2 linked regions of the Diceros bicornis minor genome follow. The main gene of each other region encodes a partner of the protein of the gene in region 2 in a complex. Links are inferred from orthologs where the notes say so. Each region holds a gene or a part of one and is shown on either strand. Other genes may lie near its edges.

The links. Proteins that work in one complex are often made in the same cells at the same time.
Region 1: the proteins of KPNB1 (region 2) and PTHLH are in contact, whole or in part, in a crystal structure (PDB 1M5N), measured with the Homo sapiens proteins. The link is inferred for Diceros bicornis minor from reciprocal best matches to the Homo sapiens genes KPNB1 and PTHLH. Residues at the interface, in NP_002256.2 of Homo sapiens: Val55, Tyr104, Pro106, Gln111, Glu152, Tyr156, Gln159, Asn196, Leu199, Asn200, Gln239, Glu274, Gln278, Glu281, Asp288, Ile295, Ser298, Glu299, Asp339, Asp340, Trp342, Val350, Met353, Glu395, Trp430, Arg434, Glu437, Asn469, Trp472; in NP_945316.1 of Homo sapiens: Tyr103, Thr105, Gln106, Glu107, Thr108, Asn109, Lys110, Val111, Glu112, Thr113, Tyr114, Lys120, Thr121, Pro122, Gly123, Lys124, Lys125, Lys126, Lys127, Lys129.

The regions. Positions count from the first base shown.
Region 1 is NC_080756.1:35,145,594-35,153,122, forward strand, and holds the start of PTHLH (parathyroid hormone-related protein), read left to right. Parts: upstream 1-4,527; 5' UTR 4,528-4,803; intron 4,804-4,904; exon of another isoform or gene 4,905-5,150; intron 5,151-5,323; 5' UTR 5,324-5,345; coding exon 5,346-5,446; intron 5,447-7,529. UniProt on the Homo sapiens protein: Neuroendocrine peptide which is a critical regulator of cellular and organ growth, development, migration, differentiation and survival and of epithelial calcium ion transport.
Region 2 is NC_080757.1:38,184,690-38,192,021, reverse strand, and holds the start of KPNB1 (importin subunit beta-1), read left to right. Parts: upstream 1-4,331; 5' UTR 4,332-4,651; coding exon 4,652-4,691; intron 4,692-4,793; coding exon 4,794-4,852; intron 4,853-6,987; coding exon 6,988-7,170; intron 7,171-7,332.

The sequences.
Region 1 (7,529 bases), on a different chromosome or scaffold from region 2:
ACCCAGGGAACGTAGCTACACCCGCCAAGGGGCTCCCAGGCCTCTGAACTTTCTATCAAGCCTGAGATCTCCGGCAGCCAACTGCGTCCTCCTCTGGGATCGTATCCGCAACGGGCGACCCAAGTCAGTGGTGGGAGGCGGGGGGCTGATAAGGATCGTCCAGTCGTCTTCAGGCCTCTTCCTAGACCCTGGAAGACACGCCTCCCCCTCCCGCGTCGGGCGCGCAGGAATCAGCCCAGGAGACCCCAGAGAGGCAGCACGCAGCTCGCACGTTTGCTTTCCCGCGGACTTATTTCTGAGAAAACTCCCAGGAAGGGCAGGCAGGGCCCTAAAACACCGTAATCACAAGCTCAAAGCGCGGTAGTCACGACGCCCAGTCTACGTGTGGGTGTCTAGATGTCTTTCTGCTTGAAAGGATGGACACCCTAGTCTGGGGGCTGCCTTGGGGAGAGACCCCATGTTTTGCAGGGGTGGAAAATGGTGTTAGGCAGGTCAACTGCTTCCAAGGTCCCGGCGACTCCCAGGAGCAGTGCCTTCCAGACAGCAGGGCTCAAATTTTAAAGAAAGGAAGATTCTCCTCACAGCAGAGCTGGGCCCCGGCCAGGAAGGCTGTGTGGCACCGCCTGAGATCCGTTTCAGGTTGAGGGGTTGTCGTCTGAACCAGGTGGGACTTGGAACTCTCCCTGTGGTCTCGTACAAGTCCAGAGCTGCCTGCTTCACGGAGCCAGGAACTCGGCCCAGCCAAGGGTATCCGGCGGGCATCAGTCCGGGAGATCAGGACCTGCGTGCTACACATCCATTCTCTCTCACCCTCTCTCTCTGTCTCTCGCTCACATACACACACACACACACACACACACACACTCCATCCCTAGCCAGAAGACTCCTCCTCAAAGGTGTTTTGATGGTTATGGGTTTGGGAGGAACACAAGTGCTTAACCTTGGATAGCTGGTCCCTAGAGACCCCCACTTCCTAGAGACCTTCTCATCTCACATTGGCTTGAGACTTCAGGGGAAAACTGCCTCACTGCTGGACTTTCTGGTCCTGTCTGGGGAAAGCTGAGCATTGCCCAGGAAGTAGGGAAGGATGAGGATGGTGTGAGACCCATTTTTCCTCCCAGAGGCAGTTCCTCCGGAGGTCAGCAACTAGTCTTGCTCCTGGAGAAGACAGCTCCTGCTTGAGTCTTATCTTCATCTAACTACAAAGATATTGAATAATGAAGCACACACTTTCCTACCCCTACTAGGGATTTAAAGGCATTACATCCCTTTTTTTGCTACCTTGAGGTCAGCTGGCAACAGTCTCCTCAAGTCTCTGTCTAGGCAAGTGGTGTGAACCATGTTCTGATGGAATCAAATGATAACTTTCCTTGAGTTAATTATGCAAACTTCTCTATGTAAACAAAGAAAAAGTTTGGAGAAGAGAAGAGATGAGTTTAGCTGTTTGGTGTCATAGGATTTTAGAGATATAGCTTGGAGCTACAGATTGGCAAAATTGGTTAAATCTGAATGCTTATTGGTAATAAGAGAATTTCTGAGCCCAGGTGCACTGTTTAAAGAGCTATGGGTACTTTTTTGGTTTGTGTGTTTATTTGTTTGCTTGTTGTTTGGTCTGAGGAGGAAAAAAGGGAGAAAGATAAAGAAGCTAAATATAAATGCTAGAGTTTTTTTTTTTTCCCCCCTAAATTGCAAGAAGAGAGATCCCTGGAGATATACTGGAATTTAAACATGAATTTAAAAGTGCACTTAAAAATTTAGAAATCTCATTTTAAAATTGGAATATAATGCCGCCATTGGGGATGGGAAGATGGAAGTCTGAGGCTTGCTCATGGGCTAGGCATTTGTGTAGGTGTAGATCTCACACTGTGAAGCTGTCTTCACATGGAAATACTTCAGATTAAAGACAGGCCTTCAAATCCTCCTATTTGCTAAGGTGCATTTATGTGATAGCAAGGCCTAAGCAAACATTTGGCCTCTATTGGCACTTGTTCTAGTCATAAGCCTAGAAAAAAAAAAACAAGCCTCCTAGTGTGGAGTCATCTCATTTGCTAGTCATGTGTCCTCAGCATTATCACCGAGGTTACTCAGTTATATTGGGAACTAGATTATGATGTCTGAAAATATCCTTTTCAGGAAGGCAAAAAAGTCAGGGTCCTGGGTATATATTGAGGACGATTTCTACTGAAAGTAATAAACAGGGCAGCTTAAAAGAAGTACCTGCTTTCTAATAATTGCCTTTGGTGGGAAGAGAAAAGGCTTTTTACAGGAAGTTTTTAATTCATTGAAGACTTAATTTTACTTTTTGAAGAACACAAAAATAATTATTTCTGGAAGAGACTGCGGAGAAGATCTCCCTCCTTTGGCCAGAAGAGCAGAGAACACTGTAAATCAAGGAAAAGGTGAAGTAATAAATTATGAGGAAACTTTGGTACTCCAAGTATATAAAGACTATTTATTTTTCCTGTGTCTATATTTTCTCTTTTTGTGGAGGAGAGGAAATTCTAAAAATATTTGATAGATGTTTTGCCATTAACACCAGAAAAGTGGGGGGGGGGGGAGAAAGGAGGGAGGGAGAGGGGGGTCAATTTTGTTTAATTAGTAGAAAAAGCAACATAAATCAAAGCACTGTATTGATGCCAGTCTTTAATTTACAATGTTCTGAGAGTATAATGAATTTATTTACAGCGTAAGTGATTTAAGATTTTCAATCTGCTTTTTGTTTTAACCTTTTATTGGGGGAGGGTTAACTTTTTAAAGCCTGGGCAGTTTGAAACTTGGCTAAGTACCTTTGGGTTTTTTATTGTGGAGGCAAATATTATCATTTTAATGTTAAACAACTTGCAAGTATTAAATGGCTCATTTGTGATTTATTTTTTTTACAGATTTCCTCCTTCAAATCTAATGATTACATTAAGGCTCCTGCGTCTTTTGGGAAAGAATTTATTATAAATCAGAAAGTGTTAGAGGTTCAAACGTTGACATTTCTGAGAGCTGATACTTTGTCTTTTCATGCCATGCAAACAGGTCTAACATTTAGAAATTCTTAAACGTTCAAGGGAAGTTGTGGAAATTCCCAGGTTTTTTTTTAGTAGGAGGAAGCCAATTTTTTTTTAAGTATGGAGTTTAAAGTAATCAAATGAGGGAGATAGGAGCGTCTGAGAAGGGGTGACGCCCACCCAAACTAAACAGCAAACGTTAACTGCTAGCTAACTAGCTGTAGTTAACGAGGGGAAAAGGGAGCCCAGATGAGCGAGGGTCGGGGAGGGGGCGCTCTTTCACCCACCCTTGGTAAAATCCGTGAAGCATCAGCCAGAAAGCCAGGCTTGATAAAGGTCAGGCTCCCTTAAGCATCTCAGATCTCTAAATCACACTAGCCTAGAGAGTTTTGAAACCTACCAGTAGGATTGTCTATCTAGAAGACAAACATCCCTTGAATGCTTCCCAACCACCCGCATTCATTTCAGAAAGATAGAGGAGCCGGTTGGGCGGGCGCTCACATCCGCTGCAATCCTTTCCTGAATGATACTGCCCAGTAAATCAGAGCAGTCTTTCTTCCCCGCCCAAGAGCTCTGGGAAGAACCCCCTGCTTTCCCTTCGCTTCTCCGAGGCAGAGCAGCGTACAGCTCTAGTTCCGCTGCCTCTGCAGGCTGAAGCGACACGGATAGAGTCATCCCAGAAAATGTAACAGGGGACTTGGGGGGGGGGGCGGGGGGGACCGAGTAGGTTATGGGGAAAGGGTGGGTTAGACTCCTGTCGGTGGGCAAAAGGGCCGTGTGCGCTCTCCAGGAGTGTCGGTCCCCGTCGGCAGTTCAAAAGGGGGTCTCCAACATGTGCGCGGGTTTATTGGACGGGCTCCAGATGTCCTCAGCTGTTCTGAGACAGCAAAAAATGCAATCTCGAACTGAGCTCTGAAACCGTTTTTACTCTTCTAAGCGAAGGATCTCCCCCTCCCTAGCCAACGCTCCCCGCTCAGCTCGTCCCAGGAAAAGGCCAGGGAGAAGGGTTCCCGTCTCGCTCCCCGAGCTCCCAGGCGGGCTTAGGGCTTCTTAAAGCGAAGGGCCAAAGGCCGGCGACCTCGCCGCCGAGGGTCCCGGGAGCCCGCGCTCTCCGGCTGCGGCTCCTTGGCCTCGGCCTCGGCGCCCGCGCGTCCGGCCGGGCGCGGCTGCTGCGGCGCGCCGGTGGCCGTGGCTGCCCGGGGCCGTCCGCACGCCCTGGGGACCTCGGCTAGCAGATCCGCCGCGCAGTCCCGGGCCGGCGGGACCCGGCGGGAACGAGCGGATCTGCCCACGCCCCCGGCCCGGGGATGGCGCGACCGGGCCAAAGGTCTGGGGTGGGGCTCGGCGGAGCTCTGAACAGGGCCGGGGGCGGCAGTGCGGGGGGGGGGGGGAGTTCCGCCGCTCGTGGAACATTCCCAGCCCGGGGCTCCCCTTCGCTCGCTCTGGCCGCCCGTCGCCGCCCCCGCCCCCCGCGCGCCCGCGCCCTCGCTCGCCCCGCGCGCGTTCCTAGGGCGCCACCTCTTTGCGACTCGCTCACTTCTCCGGCAGGTTTGCCTGGGAGCGTGTGAACATTCCTCTGCTCGACTTGCAACTCGCCTCCAACCTGCGCCGATCGGCCAGCATGCCTCCCCGCCCGTGAAGCGGGGCCGCCGCTGCCCTGCCGCTCCGGCCGCCGCCGCCCCTCCGCGCCGCTCTTAACCCGCCCTCCCTGCCACCTGGCCCTCCTGATCGACGACACACGCACTTGAAACTTGTTCTCAGGGTGTGTGGAATCAACTTTCCGGAAGCAACCAGCCCACCAGAGGAGGTAGACAGACAGCTATGTATATATATGTGGGTCTCGCTACAAGTGGCTCTGCAGGAAGACGGCCTAGTTCGCAAAGAAGCTGACTTCACGGGGGGAACTTGCTTCTTTTTTAAGGAGGGAGTTAGCCTTGCTCCACGAACCCAGGAGAACTGCCTGCTCGCCAGATTAATTAAACATTGCTATGGGAGACGTGTAAATACGCTGCTCACCATTGATGCATATATAAAACCATTTCATTTTGGTTATTATTTCAGAGGAAGCGCCTCTAATTTTTTTCCCCCTTTTTGGTCCCTTTTTGCCTGTGTGGTTTGGAAAAGGCACAGTTGGAGTAGCTGGTTCCTAAATAAGTAAGTGCTGAGAGGCTCCAGAGAAAGTTTCTTTTGTTTTTTCTTCTTTGCAACTTGGGAGATGCCTTTGATGTTGAAGAGGCTATTTGAAAGCAGGCGAAAAGGGGGAGCGGGGTAGTGCGGGGAGATGGAGATTCCGGACTGACATTTCGGCCCCCTTTCCACTGTTGCAGGTCCCGAGAGCGAGAGGATACGATGCTGCGGAGGCTGGTTCAGCAGTGGAGCGTCGCGGTGTTCCTGCTGAGCTACTCGGTGCCCTCCTGCGGGCGCTCGGTGGAGGAGCTCGGCCGCCGGCTGTAAGTGCCCCGTCCTCCCCGGGACGCCGGGTGAGGGCTGGGGAGGCTAGTGGGAGAGGCCGCCAGGCTGGGGCGCTGCCGAGGGCTCCCAGCGGTCACTGATGCTCCTCGCCCGGGTTAAAGAGCGGAGAGATCCAGCTACCTGCGGGGAGCTGAGCCCGGATCCTCAAACCAGGCGGGAGAACTGGTTGAACCTCGAGGGGAGACAGGCAGGAGACAAATTTTATGTGTTTCCATAAGAGGGAGCGTTTTACAGAATCTCCTCTAGGCAAAGATCTTCTGCCTCTAATGAAAAAAAGAAAAGGTTATTTTCAGGACCTGGGAAGGTTTTGAAACTCTGAGGATTACGAGAGATTTAGATAACTCGGAGGAAGCTAAGAGACCTAGGGGACATATGTCTGTGTGCGCTTGTATACGTACTGAATGTGGGTGGCAGTTTGTGTGTGAGAAGCAAAAACCTTACATCTAATTTTATTATGAATGACATAATTTTAAGCATATAAAATGCACCACATTACATAACGAAGGCATATTATATAATAAAGTAGTAACAACTTTGCAATGGCTCGACTCCAACGTTAGTATTGATACAGTTCAGGAACGCTAGAGCGCTGGATTCCAAAATGAATATTAGGTGTGGAAAGTTTTTTTTTTTCTTGGAATTATTGCTAACAGTTCTTTAATCTAGAGTCAAATATTTGCATTGTAGACTGAAAACTTGTATTTTTGCATTCTCATTAGGTGTTTCTTTTAAGGAGAATTTTGACTTGAAAGTCACCGTACATCCACGCACGCTAGAGAAATATCACTATGTTGTATGATTGAAAAGTTGGAAGAGTGATAGAGTAACACCATCTTAATAATCTGTTGGACCTAGCAGTTCATTAATGTGTGTAATACCGTCTTTGAGTGATCTTTAAGCTGCGGACTCAGTGTTCAGGGTGGGAAAACCATAAAGTTTGAGAACTGAGAATTTGCCTCTGAGAAGGAACTACAGAGAACTTTTACACTAACAATAATAGTAGCAATATCTAATATTTACAATCAAGTGTATGGTGCTTCCTTGTAAATTCTTGAGGGTGTACAAAAAGGCAACTGTTTTATATGTGCCCTTGGTCTATTATTATTAGAGCAGAAAATCCTTAAATGAAATTACTTGAGACATGTCTGAACCTTGGCACGAAAATGAAAATCTATTATGAATCTCCTAAGGCAAATTGTGTAGAACATTGTACTGAAGATAAAGCTGCATTGTATTCTTCAAATCAGCGTTTTGCTGATATATTTCTGAAAGTTGTCTTCAGACTTTTTTGCTCATTTTGAGGCTTGTATTAAATTCAATTATTTAAAATCCATATAGAAATATAGATGAAGACTGAATTTTTAAAAGCACACTTAAATACTGGCCAAGAAATACTGTTTTGGAACAGATCCAATTTTTTCTTTAAAGTTGCTTAAGAAATACCTGTTTTCTCTTTTGAGAAACAGTAAATGGACCATGATTAAATCCATAGTTATGGCATAAAAATAGCGTTAAATTGTCCTAAAGGCTATTTTTAACTCTTTCTTTGTTGCACCTTGCAAAATACACATCAGAAACCATTTAGCAGCCAGAGACTCTGTTATAGTTTTGTTTGTGGGTAAAATATAATATTGTAGTTAAACACTCACACTCAGCAGATGGTTATAAAACTACCACAAAACATTCTTATAGTTAATGGCTAATAGATCATCACATTACTGCCATGGTTTTTCATGGAGGCTGAAATCATCAGTAGATGAAGATGTTTCATCAAATTATTACAGCCAAATGGAGTTTAAAAAAACAAGTCATTATTTTTGCATTGCTGCCAAGTAACAGTAAATTTTGTGTGCTAGACAAAACATTAGTCTACTGTTAACACTAAATCAACCTAGTTTCTTGAAATTTTAGCAATCAAACCATATTACTCCCCAATTACTTTTCACACCAAGTATTAGAGAAACTGCTTTAGATGTTTTTCTAACTAGGGGCCAACTTTTAAGGGAGAGGAAACTACCACAACAATAACATTTCCTAAGCCAGGCAAAGGAGGCAATATAG
Region 2 (7,332 bases):
CTCATGGAAGTTGCATTTTAGTGGGGGTAAGAACAGACAGCAAAAAAAAAAAAAAAAAAAAGATAATTTCAGGTACTGAGAGGTTTTCTGAAGATAATCAAATAGGGTCCCGTCCCAAAGACTATCTGTGGAAACCACCTTAGATGGGGTGGTCAGGGAAGGCCTCTCTGAGGAAGTGACATCTGAACTGAGACAGTACTAATGGGAAGGAAGAGCGAATGCCAAGGTCCTGAGACTCATACATCATGGTGTCTTCAAGGAACAGAAAGAATGCTGGAGCCTAGTGAGCGAAGGGAAGGGCGGGGGAGACGAGAAAATTGTTTGATGATAATAGTATTTCTGCTTCTGGGGGTTGAAGTTGAAAGAGCAACGTCTCGGCTGCTTTTCTGCGAATGCTCTCTCTTCTCTAAGTTATTTGGGAGAAGCGTGGGAAGTCAGGAAAACGGCAACGAAGTTTGCCCCATTACCAAGCAGAGGGGCACTTAGTCCTCCAGATGTCGCCTTCACCTCCATTCTTCCTCAACGCTAATGAGGCCAAAGTTTGACCCGTCTCAGGTGGGTCAGCTCTGCGCAGGAGGAAAGGGCATCAGGTCACAGCCCGACTGCTTCTCCCCTCGCAGCCAGTCTTCTCACACGTATGTGCTGCAGGTCATGGGGGGACTGGGTGCTTCACAGATCCTGGCGAGTGTCTCCCGGCACGAGACACTTGTCCCGAGCGCTTCAGAGAGGCTCCTGTGTATGCTCAGACCACCCAAGGTGCGGCCCAGATTCTCCCATCTCACAGACCCAAAAGCTTACGTGACTTGTTCAGGATCATACAGCAGGAAATGGTAGAGTAAGAATGAAACCCAGTTTTTCTTTTTAATTTCATAATTCGTTCATTGGACATGAATATTCCTGCCACTCAAAAAGTTATAGAGAAAACACATTAAAACCTGTGTACTCCATACACAGCTCAAGAAACACTTGTACCTCTCCCCACTCTACTAAACCAGGTGGCTTCCAGTTCCTCCTACTTGGGAAACACTGCAAATGGGATCACCATCCATTCCACAGTGCAAGCCAGAGATCCAGCAGGCACCAGTGACACCTCCCTCTTCTTCCAGTCAGTTACCAAGTTCAATTAATTTTGCTATCTATTTCCACTATTACTTCTTCCCTTCTCCTTTCTCCAAGTATCATCTCTTACCTGGACTATTGCAATGGCCTACTAACTGGTCTCCCTGCACCTACTCTTCCCTCTTTCCAGGCTAATCTCCACATTATAACCACCAACATTCTTAACACCTTTGAATAGCTGCCCTTTGCTCTTAAGATATAGACAAAATCATCTGCATGGCATGCAAGATCTCACATGGTCTTTTTCCTACTCAACACTCTAGCTTTACCTCATTCCCTTGTTCTCTGTGCTTTGGAGGTACTGGCCCTCTTGCAGTTCCTTATAATCCCCAAGCTCCCTCCCACCACAGGGCTTTTGCACATGCTATTCCTCCCTTCTCCACCTGAATAAGTCTCTTCTCTTTCTCAAGTAAGCTTTCCCTGAGTGTCCTGAGTCATTCTTTGGCATTTGGCATTTTTACAACTTTACATTTGTTTGAGAATTTTTTTTTTTGTGAGGAGATCAGCCCTGTGCTAACATCTGCCAATCCTCCTCTTTTTTTGCCGAGGAAGACTGGCCCTGGGCTAACATCCGTGCCCATCTTCCTCCACTTTATATGGGATGCTGCCACAGCATGGCTTGCCAAGCGGTGCGTCGGTGCGCGCCCAGGATCCGAACCGGCGAACCCTGGGCTGCTGCAGTGGAGCGCGCACACTTAACCGCTTGCGCCACCGGGCCAGCCCCAACATTTGTTTGAGATTAATTGATTAAAGTCTTTCTTCTCTAACAGGCCAAGGACCAAGAACCACTCACTTAGTACAAAATACATGCTAAATACATAATAGCCAACATATATAAACATGCCAAGCAGTGTTCCTAGCCCTTAACATGTATTAACTCACTTAAGACTTTCCAAAAGCGTACACGAAATAGGTACAATTATTAGCTGCATTTTAGCAAAGTCAGTCACACAAGCTAAGAAGAGGCAGAGCTGGGATATGAACTCGGGCGGACAGTTTCTGGAGTCTGTGTGCTCAATACCTTTTGGTGCCTCACTAGCATCTGCTGAGTGCAGGCTAGTGTTGAGTGCTTTGGACAGGGACTAGCCAGCATCATCAGGAACCTTAGTTCAACTAAAAACTCATTTCACTTGGGTTTTGGGAAGGATCTTTTGTTTGACTGGAACTTTGCTGCAAAACATTTATCTTCCCAGCATTTTATTTCAGCTACTTTAAAAATCCATTTGCCCTCACTGGTATATCATGACTGATGTCGAGTAGAGGGGGTGGCTCAGCACACCGGTGAGAGCAGGAGAAAGCTGGCTTGGAGTGAGACAAAACTCTGGATCATTTGTAGCATGGGTAATCCGCATAAGGGCAGTTCAAGATTTTCATGGAGGTCATCTCACTTAACCTTCATTGATTCCTAACAAAGTTACACACAGGGCCGTTCTTCCTCAGTTAACAGATGAAGCCAAAGGCCGGGTTAGGAGGACGGCTAAGCCACAGGAAATCCGCTAGTCACAGAATGAGGTGAGGAATGGTGTCCCCACACTTCCAGCATCACAACTGCAAAGATATCTCTAGCAGAGAAAGACCTCTTCTTTCTCTTTTAAGGTTAAAGGTAGCTGGCCAAGCTTTTTTTTTTCTTTTTTCTCCCCAAAGCCCCAGTACACAGTTGTCTTAGTTGTAGGTCCTTCTAATTCTTCTACGTGGGACGCTGCCTCAGCACGGCTTGATGAGCGGTGAGTATGTCTGTGCCCAGGATCCGAACTGGCGAACACCCGGGTCGCCGAAGTGGAACGCGGGAACCCAACCGCTATGCCACAGTACCCGCCCCAAGCTTTTCTAATTCTTGGGTGGAATCTCTCAGAGAGGACGGAGTTCCTCCCAGGTATTCCCAGTATGACTAGAGTAGGGCAATTATTCCACAAGCTCAAGCTATTTGGTAAAGAGCTCTATAAGCTATATCCAATTACCCCGAGATCAATACAATGAAAATGTAGTAATTCAGGACATTCTTCACGGGGAGTCCATGTACCAATGTCAGGGAAGTCAAACTGTATGCACATTTTCTTTATGTGCATTCTGCTAAGGAAAGGCTTTCATTAGTTTCTTCCAGGGCTTAGAACTAAATAAGGCTAAGAACCACGATCCTTTATGCCTGTACACACATTCCTGCTGGCTCACGGTTGTGCCTTGATTAGAGGCACCTTCGCAGGATGAAACATTTATATTCCTTTAAGTACCTGGTAGCTATGGATGGGGCGTCTAAGAGAAATCCAAATGCCCATCCCACGTGAGTTAGGCCTTAAAACAGCACAAGCCTCAAACCCTATAAATAGATCTAAAAGATCTGCATGCGCATTCTCCTCCTTGGAAAGGAAGCTGCGTGTAAGGCCAAGGGCAGTCAGGAGCGCTTGAATCCAGTCCAGACCAGGCCACTAACCCGCTGTGTAACCTTGGACAAGTTGCATACCCTCTCTGGGCTTCAGTTTCCACATCTGCAAATAGAAAGTTGAACCGCATGGTCTTCAAAGTCCTTCCCAGCCGAGAGCCTGGTACCAAGGAGGCCTAACCATTAAAGCAGCTTCCTGTGGGCGCGGTGCAGGGCTTTAACGGTCCCCCCTCCCCCGCTCGGGCCCGCGAAATCCTCTTCAACACGCCCCTCGGAGTGACGGCGCTTCCCCAACCGCAGCCCGCACACGGCTCCGCCCCTTCCCGGAGGCGTCCCGTCGTGCCCCGCGCCGGGCTCCGAAAGCGGCGGGGCACCTCCCGCCTTCCCGCGGCCGCGACCCCGAACTCCTCTCCCCAGTTCTCCCGGGCGCCCTATCCCATCAACGTCTAGGATCCCAGCCAATCACGCGGGCCCAGAGTCTTGCCTTCGGTCCACCCTCCTCCCAGCGCGCAGCCGGTCGGAGCTCAAGGCCTTTACCAGGCCAACCCAATCAGCGGCCGGCTCTCGCCTGCCCCACCCCGACCTCTCTCCCCTCGACCAATCCGCACGCCCCATTCCGCTGCCCGCCCAGCTAACCCGGGCCTTGAAACTGGCGGGCAAATCGGTGCATGGCGGCCCTTCAACGCTGCCCACCCGGCCAATTGGGGATTCCGCGTGGCCAGGGCGGCAGCCAATCGGCGAGGAGCGCGGTGCCGCCGCGGAGAGGCCCGGCCCGAATATCCCTCCGCCTTCCTCCCTCCTCTCTCTCCCTCCCTGCGAGCCGCCGTTCACTTATCGCCTCCCTTCCTTCTTTCTCCCTCCGCCGCCCGAGCACCAGCCGCGCTCCTAGCTGCCCCCGGGGTCCCTCCCCCGCCGCCCGAGGAGCAGCTGCCATCGCCGCCAGCAGCAAAATAGGAGGGAGGAAGGAAGGCCAGGAGGAAGGCAGGGGAGCCGGAGCGACCACCAAGAGGGAGCCGGTGAATGGGCTTGTGGTGACCCCCGCCCCCCACCCCACCCTCCCTTCCCACCCGACCCCCAACCCCCATCCCCAGTGAGAGCCGCCGCCCGAGAGGCCGGGCCGTCGTCTTAGGAGGAGCCGCTGCCACCTTCTCCGCCATGGAGCTGATCACCATCCTCGAGAAGACCGTGTCCCCCGGTAGGACGTGGGGGCCGGGGGTCGCGCCGAGGTGACCGGGTGGGGGAAGAGGGACCCCCGGCCCTTCTGACCCTGTCCCCTTTCCCACTTTCCTTCCCCCAGATCGGCTGGAACTGGAAGCGGCGCAGAAGTTCCTGGAGCGTGCGGCCGTGGAGAACCTGGTGCGTGCCGGCCGCCGTCCCCATCCCGCCGTCTCCCATCCTTGCGTGCGGGCCTTCCCGCCCTCCCGGAGGCCCAGGCCTCGGGAACCCACCCCGCCCCATCCCGTCCCCCTCCCCCCGCCCGGTCCAACCTAACCCCGCCATCGGGAAGCCGGTGGGTGTGTCCCGCCCCGGGCCCCGCAGTGGGCCAATGGCGCGGCGCGCCGGGGTGACCGCCGCCCAATCGCCGCGCGGCCTGAGGGCGGCGGTGCAGCGCGAGGGAGAAAGAGGGAGGGAAGGGAAGTTAGGTTGCGCGGCGCTGCGTGTTCAGCAAGGGTGGGGGTGGGGGAGCCGGGCCTAGGGGCCATGTGGAAGCTCGGAGCCCGGCTGCCCGCCTGGTCTCATCCGGGCCGGCTTCTCTCTCCTGTCCCGTGGCCCATGTGATTTTAGATTCTCTCCACCTACTTCCCAGAGCGCTACGCTTTCCTATATCCCTTGGTCTGTGCTCAGGACCAGGCCTGGCACCCAAATGCCCGTTCCGGCAGTATTTCTTCGTTTCCTGCCTGGTTATTCCTCTCCTGGGGTGTTTTTTTTTACATCAATTGAGTGGAGACTTAATCTGTACCCAGACAACCCGCTGAGGCTCATCCTTGAGATCGGGCCTGTGTCCAGATGAAATCACAGAGGAAAGTTCCTCGTTTTTCGTATTTTCAAATTTAAGGGCTACAGACAAAAAATGAAGATAAGTCCACTAGAGACTGGATCTCGAAATAAAAATGTGGGATGGATTGGTTGAAACAGCCTGTGTACCAGTAATGTTTCTCTTTGGTGTCCCTCTCCTGTTGGGGGGGATGGGGAGCAGAGGGAAGGGTGGATGATACTTGACATCTTTTAAAAAGTATTAGGTAATAAATCTAAATAACACTAATTAAACGTGGTCCCTTGTGTTATCTGGGCAAAGTAATGTAAACAAAAAAAGTGACGAGGCTTATTTTATACAAACTGCCTTTAATCATTTTTTTCCCCCCTCATATGTGCTAGTTTTTAGTACTAATCTTTTTATCCTTGACTTTCTGTAGAAAAGATATTTTGCACTAGTGTAGACTGATAACATTTCCATTTAGGGTATATTCTTGTTTCTACTTTTGCTAATATGCAAGAAGGCTTTTATCTTGTTCCTAACATCTTATTCCTAACATTCTTTAGTGGTACATAATTAATAAAACTTTTAAGAATTATCTTCTGCTGTGATTGCGGAACTTGTTAGTGGTAAGAAAGTACCTGCTTTTGGTTTTTCCTGTTAACTTTTCCATTTGCACAGAGCTTTCTGCGGGTAAGAGGAGAGTGTGTTACAATTTTTAAACAAAGGGAGTAGTTTTGGGGACCCGTGCATTACAAAAGATTAAGGATGCTTTTCAGGAATCCAGTATGTTTAGTGGATAACTCAGGTACAAAATGTATAGGAGGTTGTAGCGTATTAACTGTTGACTATTAAATATAAAATTATTTTCCTTGACATTTTTAACTTTTCAATGTTCCCCTATTCCTAAATATTTATGTTTTTCCTTGTAAATCTGCTTTTTTCATTGTTCCCCTTTTACTGAACACTTAGAACTAAAATAGAACTAACCTCCGAAGTCCATGTTTTAGGTTTATAAGTATTTCCCTCTCTTTTACAAGGTTACCTGCTTCCATGAGATCAAAATCCACCTTGAGTATCATTCTTTTTGGACTAAGATTTTTTAAATTTAGAAAAACAATTTTACTTTCTACCCTGTCATGACATGTTCATTCATTTAACAAATATTTATTGAGTACTAGGCACTGTTGTAAGTACAGAGAAGAATCCTCTCACTACCACATTGTCAAATTTGCTTTAGTACTGAGGGATCTAATGTGAAGATCTGATGTTGGTAGGAAAATCTCTAACTCTTTGTTAAATGCTGAGGCTGCATGAGAACATGGATGACTTCTTTATATACCAAGTAACATTTTTATAAGAGTTTTGAAGTAGATATTTTGACATTTTCTGAGACGTTATGATATGTTCTAAAAAATTTAGATTTTCTCCAGTGTTTTGGTGCTCTGTAATTCATTCTCAATTGGTGAAATTCCTAAGAGAGATTTTCATTCACAAATGCATCTTCTCTTAACAGCCCACTTTCCTTGTGGAACTGTCCAGAGTGCTGGCAAATCCAGGAAACAGTCAGGTTGCCAGAGTTGCAGCTGGTCTACAAATCAAGAACTCTTTGACATCTAAAGATCCAGATATCAAGGCACAGTATCAGCAGAGGTGGCTTGCTATTGATGCTAATGCTCGACGGGAAGTCAAGAATTATGTAAGTGACTTTCATCTCATTCTGGTCATATTAGCCTAGGGAACAAGAAACATCTTTGTCAGTTTTTTGTCATTTAAATGGGATAGAGCTGACAGTGTAATAGGTTTCTGGGACCTAAACTTCACTTGAAGATAGAAATCGTATTTGATTTAAATCTTCTTT